2 linked regions of the Diceros bicornis minor genome follow. The protein of the gene in region 1 purifies or fractionates together with the protein of each later gene. This does not show direct contact. Links are inferred from orthologs where the notes say so. Each region holds a gene or a part of one and is shown on either strand. Other genes may lie near its edges.

What was found.
Region 2: the proteins of HSPD1 (region 1) and SIRT3 purify together in Homo sapiens (affinity purification with mass spectrometry; 3 studies listed by BioGRID and IntAct, counting the BioPlex papers as one, with this or other methods). This does not show direct contact. The link is inferred for Diceros bicornis minor from reciprocal best matches to the Homo sapiens genes HSPD1 and SIRT3.

The regions. Positions count from the first base shown.
Region 1 is NC_080749.1:75,336,882-75,343,398, reverse strand, and holds the start of HSPD1 (60 kDa heat shock protein, mitochondrial), read left to right. Parts: upstream 1-2,507; 5' UTR 2,508-2,599; intron 2,600-3,531; 5' UTR 3,532-3,533; coding exon 3,534-3,707; intron 3,708-5,281; coding exon 5,282-5,534; intron 5,535-6,517. Other genes in the region: MOB-like protein phocein, read right to left, coding at 1,166-1,330, 1,959-1,961. UniProt on the Homo sapiens protein: Chaperonin implicated in mitochondrial protein import and macromolecular assembly. Together with Hsp10, facilitates the correct folding of imported proteins.
Region 2 is NC_080770.1:58,802-65,318, forward strand, and holds the start of SIRT3 (NAD-dependent protein deacetylase sirtuin-3, mitochondrial), read right to left. Parts: upstream 3,525-6,517; coding exon 3,442-3,524; intron 1-3,441. Other genes in the region: PSMD13 (26S proteasome non-ATPase regulatory subunit 13), read left to right, coding at 4,159-4,253, 5,903-5,981.

The sequences.
Region 1 (6,517 bases):
ACCATTCATTTATATATTTTTATTTGGAAATGTTTATATCAGTACAGTGAAACTAAATTTTAGAGACACTGGATGTCATTAGTTTGGATATCATTAGTTTATTATAAAAGAGAGACATGGAAATTATTTACAAGATGAAAGATTTCAGTACTTCAATGGAATGGGCAGCTTCACGTGATGCCATTTCAATAGTGATTCATTTCAGTCTACATACTTTCCAAGAATGTCACCATCTCTAAATAAGAAATAATCCTGCAAATAAAGAAACCATTAGTTAAGAAAACTAATACCAAATATGTAACTTCTAAAAAAAAAAAATCCATTACGTTTACACACCTTGTCGTCTAGAACTACTTTGGTGCCTCCATACTCTGGGAGAAGAACTTTATCTCCCACTTTCACACTAACTGGTTGAATCTCTCCACCCTTAAAAAAATAAGAATGTTTATTAGTAGAGACATCTAATTTACCAAATATTTACACCTAACTTTCATTAATCAAATATGCTCACTCAAATCAAATGTTAAAAAAGAACTTGGTGGCCAAGTGATATAATCTATACAATTGTAGTTCTTCACTCAAAACTTATCATTGTAGAGTCACACTTTGAAATGAGGCACACACAGTGGCTTAAACTAAAACCTGATTTCACTGTAAAAGTTCAAGGAGTTATACTGGGAAAACTAACTTAAACTAGCTTTTAAATTGTTAAATATTAACATAACCCATCGACTAAGTGAAATAAACAAGTTTTAAAAACCGTATACATAACAGTCTGTATAACTTCCTTCAATACACAAACACTTAACAGAAGTTTTCTGAATTCGGAACATACATTTTTTTTTCCATTCAATTTCCTTTGCTCCCAAGTATAGACTTGGGGAGGAGACTGAAGCAGAGTGTCCACTCTTCCAAGCCTTCCTATTCCTAACTCCAGGATTCCTTGCTAGAACTTTCTTAGAGGCATGGACAATGCAATTAACATATTTGACCCTAAGAGCATTTACTATGTATTCTGGTTGACACTTTTATAAGTCTGAAATGTAACCAATTAATTAGAAAATGACCTTGAAGATAACACAAGCTACGTAAAAGCCTATTTTTAATAATAACCAATAATTACTTTTTCCCTCCACATAATAGTTCCATTTTAGCCCCCATTTACCTTTCCTTTAGAGCCCGATCCAACAGCCACTACTGTTGCTTGCAATACTTTTCCTTGAGATTTTTCTGGAAGCATAATGCCTCCTTTGGTTACAGTTTCGGCTGCACTCCTTTCAACCAATACTCGGTCAAAGAGGGGAAGAAACTTTCTAAATGCCTGTCCTGCCTGTAGAGAAAGAAATGTCGGATAACACAAAAACAACATGTAATTATATTCTAAACAGGCAACACCACTGTAAGCCTTCTGTATCACAGGCCACGTGTGGCTTTCAAAGATCATGCCCAAACTCAGATTATTTACCCAGGAAACCCACTTGAAGGTTCTGCTCTGTAGCCCGAGTTTAATTTCCCATTCCCCATGTGTGTTAGGGGTCCTTGCTGCTCCTCTGGTCAGCAGCCAGACCACCTTTAAGGGCAACCTTAGTTTATTCCAAGGTCAAATACTATCCTTCCTCAGGTTTTTCTGGGAATTTTCAGCAAACACTGCAGTCAATCCCTACGCCCGGGGCCATGCTTTCTCCGACATATTACACACCCCCCAGCGCCCTGCAACAGCCGCAGGCCGGCCGCCGCGCGGTTCGGGGTTCCCGGCCCACAGGCCTGCAGCACGCGCGCGCGCAAAGAGCCCTCGGCGCGGGGAAGGGGCGGAGGGGCCTCGCCTCTCCAGGGTCCCGGCGGGCGCCGCTCACTGGGTGACCCCCACCCCTCCGGCTAGGCCCAAGAGAACCGTCCGGACTCCCGGTGCGCCTCAGGCCGACCCGGGACCGCCACCCCCCCGCTCACGGCGGCCTCACCATGACTCCGGCCGCCGCAACCCACACTCCGCTCTAGCGCCGCCGTCGCAAGCAGAGACCCGTAGTCCGACCCTCGAGACACGTGAACTTGGGACAAGGCACCCGGCGCGCAGGCGCGCTCGCCCCCGGCCCCCGCCCCTCCCCGCGCGAGGGGGCGGCCGCAGCAGCGCGCGCCGCGATTCGCCGCGAGGGCCCTGCGCAGGCCCCTGACGCCGGGAGGCGGAAGGAAAGAGGAGCCCTTTCTAGGCTTTTCTAGGCCCCCGCCGAGGTGAAAGTACTAGCCCTCCGCCCTCCTCCCGGATGTGACGCGGTTTAACCCTTAACCCGCAGGGAGCGCGGCGCCCCCAGAAAGTTCTGGAACCCAGCGCAGCCCGGGAACCAGCATACGCCGGCCGGAGAGGGCCGAGTCCGCGGGCCTGGCCCGGCGCTGGTAGGGAGGGGCGGGCTGGCCCGCGGCGCATGCAGATTGCCGGGCCTGCCGCCGGCGAGGGCGGGAGCCGCCTGCGCGCGCGGCGCGGCGGGGCGGGGGAGTGGCGGAGGGAGGGGACACGGGCTCATTGCCGTGTGCGCCCTGCACTCTGTCCCTCACTCGCCGCCGACGGCCTGCCTCGCCTTCCGCACGCCGCGCCGCCGCCCCGCAGGTACGCGGCCGCTCCGCGCCGCCGCGCCCAGGGCCTCGGACCCCCGAGCCGGCCTCCCCCCGCTGCAGTCCTGCCTGAAGTGGGCGGCGGGGGAGAGCCAGGGCCTCCTCCGGCGCCGCAGGCCCGGGCCCCTTGGCCAGGCCTGGCGGGTCCATGCGCGAGCCCATCACGTGCCGCGTGGAGCCCTCGCCCGGGCAGGGCGCAGGAGGGAGGGCTTGCCCGGGAGTGCGTGTGGAATCGGGGGAGTGCTCTCGTGGGCCCTCCCATGCAACCCACTCCTGGACTGCAGGACCCCGGGGAGGGTGGTCTCACCCGCGTGGGAACCGCGTTTGGCCCCGCGGACCGCTGGGGTACGGCACTTCGACCCTGACCTTGCTCGGGGCGTCCTGATGGAAAGACACTTGGGGTCGCGCCGAGTGGGCCAGGCCGCAGCCCCCTGCATCGCGGCCTTGCGGGCTGCTCTGATACAGTAGCCCCGAGAGGATACATGAAGGCACATTTCACTAAGCGGAATTTTACGCCGTCAGGCATATTTGTACTCTCCTGGTCCCTCGGGTTTATAACCTGCCCGTCTGCTGCAGGCTTGGTTTTTTTAGGGGCGCGTGTGGAGTGGCTTTGCTCTGAAGGCCGTTTTAGCAGTGAAAGATTAACTCCTTTTCAGCGGCAGGGGTAGGTGGCCATGGGGACGAAGAGGGGCCTGCTTTGTGCTAGTGCTCTAGGTCAGGCGTGGAGGCGGCCTCTTCAGGCTCGTCCTGGTACCTGGTGTTCTGCAGCTGTGGCGCTTTCCGTGGCCCGGGTGTAGTGGCTGGCAGAGGTCAGACCAGCTCACGTCTAACACTTTTTATTCTGTTGCACAGGTGTCATTTTTGTGCTGTAACGCACCACTGGGAGTGCCACTATTGTACTGATGGTCTGCTTTTTTTCCCACCCAGAAATGCTTCGATTACCTGCAGTCCTTCGCCAGATTAGGCCAGTGTCCAAATCACTGGCTCCTCATCTCACTCGGGCTTATGCCAAAGATGTAAAATTTGGTGCAGATGCCCGAGCCTTAATGCTTCAGGGTGTAGACCTTTTAGCCGATGCTGTAGCCGTTACTATGGGGCCAAAGGTAACTGTTGTTATTTTGTTATACTTTATAATATTGTTAATTAAGGAATAATATTTTACTGATGAGAAGTCACACTGAACTGTTGAACAGTATTTTAGTATCCGTTTTTGAGAAAAACCAGTTTACATATGTGAGTTCTAAATTATTGGTTAATTTTTTTGTCTTTTTTTGCTTAGATATAATGGTCTTAAACTGCTCCTGCCAAATTTTCGAAACTTTCTTTTTTACAATGTGTGATGTAATCGAGTGGTAACTAACTCATAGCTCAAGGTGGATTCTTAAACTCAGTGTAGAATTAATCTTGCTTGCCTGCTTGAGTTAAATTTTGGATTCTTTCCCAGTAGTTAATACCAAGCATAGAAGGAAGACTATAAGTACGTCCCATAATACCTCAAGTATGTGCTTTTAGGTGCTAGTTTTACCTAGTGTTTTTCTCTTGTCCGTTCTGTTCTAAAGCACATTTAAAATTCTAAGTCTTATTTAACGTTAAGAGATTGGTGAGCGAGGGGTGATAATTTGAGGAGGCTTTTGAAGGTGGTGCACAGTTGAAGACCGTTCAAATATCAAAGTAATCCAAACTGTATAGATTACAGCATTTGCATGCCTCACAGGTAGCAGCTGTGGTTCAAATCCAAAAGCTGCCAATACTGTTTGCACCATGTTTGAGATTTAATGTTGAACGATCCTGGAAGAGTGCACTATACTTACCTTGCTGTTAATAGTTTATCTTTTTTTTTTTTCCTTTATTTTTTTCCCCCCAAAACCCCAGTAGATAGTTGTATGTCATAGCTGCACATTCTTCTAGTTGCTGTATGTGGGACACGGCCTCAGCATGGCCGGAGAAGCGGTGCATCGGTGCGCGCCCAGGATCCCAACCCGGGCCGCCAGCAGTGGAGCACACGCACTTAACCGCTAAGCCACGGGGCCGGCCCGCTGTTAGTAATTTAGTAACTAAACTTTAGACTTTAAAAGTAAGTTTTCACAATACTTTCAAAGATGGCAGGCACAGGACAAAATTTAAGTATAAATGATGTGAAGAATATTCTGGAATTTAATTATAATCTACCAGATTGGTATTGGTTTATCTCATGTTCTTGTTGTTTTCTAAGAGGACACCTTTTAGTCTCTAGGATTTTTATCCCCCATAATACCTTATTCAAAGTTATGCAATTGGCAACAGAGAGGTAATTTTGCTTGTAAGAACATTGATGAATTTGCCCTTGAGATTCATGCTGCTGATTTGATAAGATGACAACTTGCATTGAGGCTTTTGAGTGATTGCCCCATTACAGTCACGTGCCATTTAACAACTGGGATATGTTATGAGAAATTGTTGGGCGATTTTGTCATTCTGCGAACATCATAGAGTTCTTAACACAAACTTAGGTAGTATAGCCTACTACACACCCAGGCTGTGTGAAACTAATCTTATGGGACCAGTGTCATATATGCAGTCCGTTGTTGACCGAAACGTCGTTATATGGCATGTGGCTATAAAAACTGCTCGTTCTGTTTTAAGTTAAGTAGTACTTAGAGTGCGAGTCTGTTCCATTTTTTTTCCTCTGCAATTATAGGGAAGAACAGTGATTATTGAACAGAGTTGGGGAAGTCCCAAAGTAACCAAAGATGGTGTGACCGTTGCAAAGTCCATTGACTTAAAAGATAAATATAAAAATATTGGCGCTAAACTTGTTCAAGATGTGGCCAATAACACAAATGAAGAGGCTGGGGATGGCACCACTACTGCTACTGTTCTGGCACGCTCTATTGCCAAGGAAGGCTTCGAGAAGATTAGCAAAGGTGCTAATCCAGTGGAAATCAGGAGAGGTAGGAATGTCTCCTCATTGTCACCACAGTGTTTTGAACTATTAAGTTATACTAGAAAATTGATTCTTATTTCTTCTCTCTCCTAAAAAATCTTAGCCTGGGTTTTTCTTCAGCAAATAGTGATTGAATGCTTGGCTTTGTGCTTTGGGCACTGTGGTTGCTGTTAAGGAGGGAAGTGTGACTAAGACATACCCTGTCTTCTGTCCATCCCGTGTGTCCCCTCCTCTGAAAGCCAACAGTTTATTGGAAGATACACATGTACTATGTACCTTGAAAATAGTAAACTTGTGGGGATTAGAGCAGAGAGGGGTTATACACCTTTGATGTTTTACTTTATTTAGAAAGTAGGGGCTGAACAGGAAACTAAGTCACCCAGGATGTCAGAAAGTTTTTTGTTCTTTTTAGCAGCTTTTTCTTACCTCTTAACAGTACATACTGTGTTATTAATCTGCATTTTATTATTGCTTGTTTTGGTGAGCTACAGACCACAATTTAAAGATCTCAACGTGAGGTTCATGTTGATATAGACTCATCTTGTCATTGTCATTTATTAGCTGTGTACTAAAACTTGGTTTTCCTATCTTGAATATGGAATTAACTGTATATTTCTTGGGTATGTTATCTCCCAAACTAGGAGACTTGAGAGTAAAGGGGGTGCTATTAATAATTTTGTCAGAATTGGCATTCCAGGGCATAGTGGCATAGCATCATCCCATCCATTTCAATGTTTGAGGTCCAAATGAATGTGTTCCGTTAAAAGGGAGTTAGACTGTAAATCACTAACAAATATTAACTGAGATTGTTAAGATTACTTCCCAAAGAAAGTCATTGTTACTCCACACCTTGTTTTGGATTTTTTCTTGAAGTAACATTTCTAAAAATAAAGAAGAGCAGAGCTAGCTCTAGCCCCAGTTGAACAAAATGGGGTTCTCCTAAATCCACGTTGGGGTGCTGTTGGCTGTCGAAACAAAAATATTTTGTTA
Region 2 (6,517 bases), on another chromosome or scaffold:
AAGCCACTGCCGAACCCCAGTGAAAAGTCATTTTGCCCTCTTCTGAAAGGTGACAGTACTGGCTCCTTTTAGGGTGCCTGTCACCCCTGCCCCACTTCCTCTCACACTCCATTCTGGGGTCAGCAATGATGCAACCTAGGGACTTGCTTGCCACTCACAGTCCACTTGCATGCTCCTGTGTTGTCACCTCTCCTGCCACACAAAGCATCGTCTTGGTTTTCCAAAAAACAGACCTCTGGAAGATACGTAATGAGAAAGAGGAACGTAGGGCTGGCCCCGTGGCTTAGCAGTTAAGTGCACAGGCTCCGCTACTGGTGGCCGGGTGTTTGGATCCCGGGCGCGCACCGACGCACCGCTTTTCTGGCCATGCTGAGGCGGTGTCCCACATACAGCAACTAGAAGGATGTGCAACTATGACATACAACTATCTACTGGGGCTTTGGGGAGAAAAAGGGAAAAAAAGGAGGAGGACTGGCAATAGATGTTAGCTCAGGGCCGGTCTTCCTCAGCAAAAAGAGGAGGATTGGCATGGATGTTAGCTCAGGGCTGATCTTCCTCACAAAACAAATAAAAAAGAGGAAAGAGGAAAGTGACAAAGGAAGGCATATGTGCAAGGCTGAGGGCTCCACAAGGAGTCAGAGCCCTAGCTCACTGCCTGTCTCAAGTCACTCACACACCCTGAGCCTCAGCTGCCAAAGCCAAAAGCAAGGGAGCGAGCAATGACTCTCACAGTCTTGCTTGAAAAGATCTACAGCTGGAAACCTCTCAGCAAGAAGTACAGGAAATACACACAGCAGGGAAGATGTCCCCCCTCCTCCCCATGCTACTGCAGAGATGCCCACAGATTCTGAAGAAAGTTCTGCTGCACCAAAGACTTGCATAAAAGCACCCATCAAGGCAGCTCTTCTGAGTGCAAGTCGATGAAATCACCAAAGGGGGTTTCCTAGTGAAAACTGGTCAGATGCTCAGGAGGGGAAGAGAATGCTCTGGCTCCAAGTATAGCTATTAAATGCCCCACTTCACTCAGCATTAGGAACATCTGTTCACCTAAGGTCCTCACCCAAACATTTACTGAGCTCCTCCTAAATGCAATTACTATGAAAAATACAAAAGAAATAGGAAGGAAGTTGTGATATTGTGATTTATAATAAATTTATATTTTGGTTTTCGTCCCCAAACCCTTGTAATTTCCTAAGGGCAATGGGAACATCTTTTGTTATAATATTTGGTCTTAGATCCTCAGTTCCTGAAATCGCTTCAGAGCCATGAAGGTGACATGGGTGTCTTGTTATTCATAACAAGCCCGTTTTGGGGTTGGCCCAATGGCATAGCGGTTAAGTTCACACATTCCACTTCAGTGGCCTGGGGTCCACTGGCTCAGATCCTGGGCATGGACCTACTCATCGCTCATCAAGCCATGCGGAGGCAGCGTCCCACATAGAGCAACTAGAAGGATGTACAACTACGATGTACAACTATCTAGTGGGGCTTTGGGGAGAAAAAACAAGAGGAAGACTGGCAACAGATGTTAGCGCAGGGCCAATCTTCCCAAAAAAAAAGCATAACAACCCCCTTTCCACCACAACTGAGTTTATGTCAATGAGGTGACTTGTGGAAACCCCCTAAGGATGAGGGCTGGTTGCCAGGGGAATAAAGTGTGATTAGAGGGTTGGCACCTCCATAAAAACCCAAAAGGAGGGGATTCAGAGAGCTTCCAGGTTGGTGAACCAGAACACTTCCACGTGCTGGGCCCCAGGGGCCCGAACTCCAAGGGGACAGAAGCTCCTGTATTTGGGATCCTTCCAGACCTCACCCTAAGTATCTCTTCATCTGGCTGTTCATTCACATCCTTTAATATTCTTTGTAATAAACTGGTAATCTAGTAAGCAAACTGGTTTCCTGAGTTCTGTGAGCCGCTCTAGCAAATTCATCCAACCACAGGGGTCATGGGAACCTCCTCATTTATAGCCAGTTGGTCAGAAGCACAGGTGGCAACCTGGATTTGCATCTGAAATAGCAGTCTTGTGGGACCGGACCCTTGTGGGACTGTGGGAGCTGGTGCTATCTCCAGGTCAATAGTCTCAGAATTGAGTTAAATCTGTGGGACACCTTGTCAGTGTCCACAGAAAACTGGAGAACTGCTTGGTGGTGTTAAAAAAAGCACGTATTGTAGAAGTTATTGCCATTGTTGAGCACGTACTGAGTGCAAAGTATTACCCAGGGTACTTGATATATATGTTTCACCTACATAAGTAAAACATTTGCCACTAAAAAATGCATGGACAGGTTTTTACCAAATGTCTAGAATATACTTAAGGTGTGTGACTTCAAGTATATGCTACATGGAACGAGACTTACTGAGAGTGGGAGGACCCTGAGGAGCAAGCATGGGTGCTGCCTGGGAAAGGGAAACAGGATGATTTCATACAAGAACCCCAAAATCAAAACTCAAAAGGGCAGAACTCCCAAACTGCAGAAAGCCTGTGCAAACAACCTCCTGTTCGGGGGCAGTGGTAGCAAAGATTTGTTTAATGACAGTCAGCAGTCCCCTGAGCAGCAGCCCGTAGACCAGGTCACTATTCAGCCATGTCCCACGCACACAACTGCCTGAGATTCTGAGACTGGAATGCGCTCCACGGAAAGAAGCGTTTTTCAGGTCCCTGCACCATCCTCAGCACCTGGAACAGACTCTGGTACCGAAGAAGAGTTCAATAAAGGTTTCCTGGATGAACCGAAGACTCCTTGCTATCTCTGCATTAAACTCTTCACCAGTCTTTTAGTAGCTGTGTGGGATGGCATCAAGTGCATGTACCGTTAGTTACTTAAACATTCGTCCATTATTGGGCATTTAAGTTAGCTTCCCAACAACTATGATTAACAACCAGGGGCCTGAAGATTTTTCCGTCTGTAGGCCCAGTTCCGAGGCAAGAATTCCAAAATCTGCAATTACTGTGTAGAAGAGTGATCAACATATGCTGGTGGGGACAATAAAAACGTATATACCTTTAGACCCAGAAGTTCCACTACTAGAAATTTATCCAAAAGGTGGGGTACAAACAAGGTGATTCACCACAGCATTACTTGTACCAACTAAACATTAGAAACGACTTCGCTAAGACAACGGTTAATTTACGAAACATCAATATAATGGAATTCCCCAGATCAGTATAAAAGACTGAGAAAGCTTTCACGCTTTCAAGGGAAGCCACTCCAAGACAAACTGTTACATAAAAAGCCAAAGCACCGAATACAATCCGACTAACAGGGGTGGGGTAGCAGGCCCCAACGCGCGAGCGCTGCTCGCAGGCGCCCAAAGCGCCGTGAGGAGGAATGACCCGCCATCCGAGCCGCGCCTCGGGGCTGCGGACACCGCCGGCACGGCGCTCCAGCTCCGCGTCTCGCGCTGGACCCGCCCGCCCCGCGGCGGCCACCGGGACGAACCGAGGCTTGCGGGCCCAAGCCCGCTCACCGCCTGGGCCCAGGAGCCTGAGGGCGGGAAGCACAGGCCGAGCATACAGCGCCATGTTCCTCCGCAGCCCGCTGGCGTGAGCGTCCCCGAGGGTCACGTGCCCATCCGCGCGCTCGCCCCGCCCCCACCATGCTTGCCCTCGCCCCGCCCCGCGCGCCCGGTGTAGGTTAGCTCCCTAGTCTGTTGAGATGCCGCCTCTCGTCCCAAGACCAAACCAGGACCCTGAACTTCTCTATCCTGCATTCCCGCCTTTTTCAGTCGGGATGGTGATCGTGATGACAACTGACACTGTGTAAGCGCTCAATATGGTCAGGCATTACATTTACACTCGGTCCTCGCAAGACACTACGAGGAAGGTACTAGTTGTATCATCCCACTTGAGCTTGAGAAACGCGGGTCACAAAGGCCACAGAGCCAGTCGATGCCCGGTGGACCCCAGGCGCCTGTTCTGTGCCCCGCCTCAAAGGCAAAGGCAGCCGCGGGGCTAGCCGGGGACGACCCGAGGAGAGAATTTCATCCACAGCGCAGACGCGCGGTTACCCTGACAACCGACGGGCGCGGGAGGCCGCGCTCGGCGCTCCCGGCCTGCCCCGCGAGACGCGGCGCCGGAAGTGAGTGAGCACTTCCGGCGGCCATCCCCTCTGCGGCGATATCTTCGTTTCCCGCGATCCCGGGGTCTTCCTGCCGTGATGAAGGACGTGCCCGGCTTCTTACAGCAGAGCCAGAGCTCTGGTCCCGGCCAGGCCGCCGTGTGGCACCGTCTGGAGGAGCTCTACACGAAGAAGTGAGCGCCGGGCTGAGGGGACCCGGGCCCCCGGGGAGAGGAGGGCGAGGCGGAGGGGCGAGACCTGACGCACTGAGGGTCTCGGACCCGTGTGGGCAGCGTGAGGACAGGCGAGGCCGGGCGGTAGCTGAGGACCCCGGAGGTGCAGGGCCGAGGGGGAGGAGGGGTGACAGCCCGTGAGGACTGAGGAGCGGAGCCGTCGGCAGGGTTTTGGGGTGTAGGATTCACTCCCTTCCTGCCCGAGGGACTGTAGCTGAGCCTTCTGAGCTCTCCTCTGGTTTTAGAATAGTGCTCAAGGCTGGCCTGTGCATTTAGCTCTTGACTCCGGTCAAACAAGCATACGCCCTTTCGGGGTCAGGCTGCTACCCGTTTGGATAACAGATGCTGGTGTCTTGTACTTAGCCTTGTCATAGCGTGACCGTGTCTACAGTCATCTTTCTCAGCGGCCTGGAGTGGATGGACCAGGGGCCAGTGCAGTTTTGTTCCTTTCTCTGTTGATTCTGCAGCTGGTTACAGCTCAGGTGCAGCCACATTCCCCTCTCCCATGGTCCTTACGTTCCGTTGCGTTTCTTATTGGGCTTCGTGCCTCTGGAGACACCTCAGAGTTTGAGTTTGTTTAGAAACAGGATAAATTGCAAAACGATTAACTTGTCTGTTGCTAAGCACCAGTCTCTTTTTAAGTGAGTAGAATAAATTGTTGGCATTGTGCTAGCGATGTTCTATAGGAAAATACACCTCTTGTAAAAACCTCCGTGTTAACAACCCTAGCGTTAGGCATAGTGTCTTTCATGTAGATATTCAATACATGTTTTGATCATGTTCAGCATCCTGCTGTTAGCAGTTTTTGAGAGAAAATTCTTAGTGTTTGGGAAATAGTTGTTTGTGTTGGATAGCACTTTGTATTTTTCAGGGCATTTTATTTGCGTTCTTAAAAATTAGCCTTTGGGGGCCGACCCTGTGGCTTAGCGGTTAAGTGCGCGCGCACCGCTACTGGTGGCCCCGGTTCGGACCCCGGGTGCGCACGGACGCACCGCTTCTCCGGCCATGCTGAGGCCGCGTCCCACATACAGCAACTAGAAGGATGTGCAACTATGACATACAACTAGCTACTGGGGCTTTGGGGAGAGAAAAAAAAAGGAGGAGGATTGGCAATAGGTGTTAGCTCAGGGCTGATCTTCCTCACACACACACAAAAAAAATTAGCCTTTGGTTTCAAATGTGCCATGTCAGTGTTGTAGAGGATTTATGTACTAGCTCATTTAAGCCTTCATCCGTTTCACAGATGAGGAAACTGAAGCTCAGTTTAGGCTTCTTCCCGGAGATACTCAGCTAATAAGTAGAAGAGCAGGATTTCAACTTAAAGATGTGTGATCAAACTTAACAGTAACCTCTTGAGGTAGTTTAGCAAGATGTTCTCCATTTATAGCTGAGAAAACTGAGTCTTAGAGAGGTTAAGTGATCTCAAGGTGACATAACCATTGAGTAGTAGAGCCAGGAAAAGAACTCAGGTTTATGAGCATCTGCCTTTGCATTCTTCCTGTTACACCATAGAGACTGGTTAGTATTTGTTATCTGATAGATCTATCACAGCTGACGGTATCTGTGACTGGATATTAGTTTATAGGTCTCAAGGGCCTTATGTTTTTCAGGTTGTGGCATCAGCTGACACTTCAGGTGCTTGATTTTGTGCAGGACCCGTGCTTTGCCCAAGGAGATGGTCTCATTAAGGTAAACGATTTGCTATGCTAGGTCAGATTATATAAATGTGCTCAAGGACTTTTTAAAATAATAAGTGGGCTTTATCATAATAATACACCGCATCTATTCAGCAATCAGTTTGTGTCAGGTACTGTTCTAAGTGCTCTACGTATTTACTCCTTTACTCAGCATAACAGCATTGGAAGATAAGTACTACCATTATCCTATTTTTTTGATGTAGAAGCAGACACCAAGAGATTAAGTAACTTGCCATAGATCAGAGCTAATAAGTGGCAGAAGAGGATTCAAACATAGAAATTCTAGCTTCTTCTAAAATCCAGGGTAAAATACTGTCTCATTGTATTCCCCTGCATCTTATTGTTCATAGTCTTTTTTTTTTTTAAGTTCTGTACTTTTGGAAAACTGTTATTCAAAAATTGAAAGTCCAAAACCCGTTAGGAGTGAGGGGATACAGAGGAAGATTACTGTAGGAGTCTTTCAGATCACTGCCTTCACTCCTCTTCCCTCACCCTCGCTGACTCTGCTTGCCCAAACACTTCGTTCTG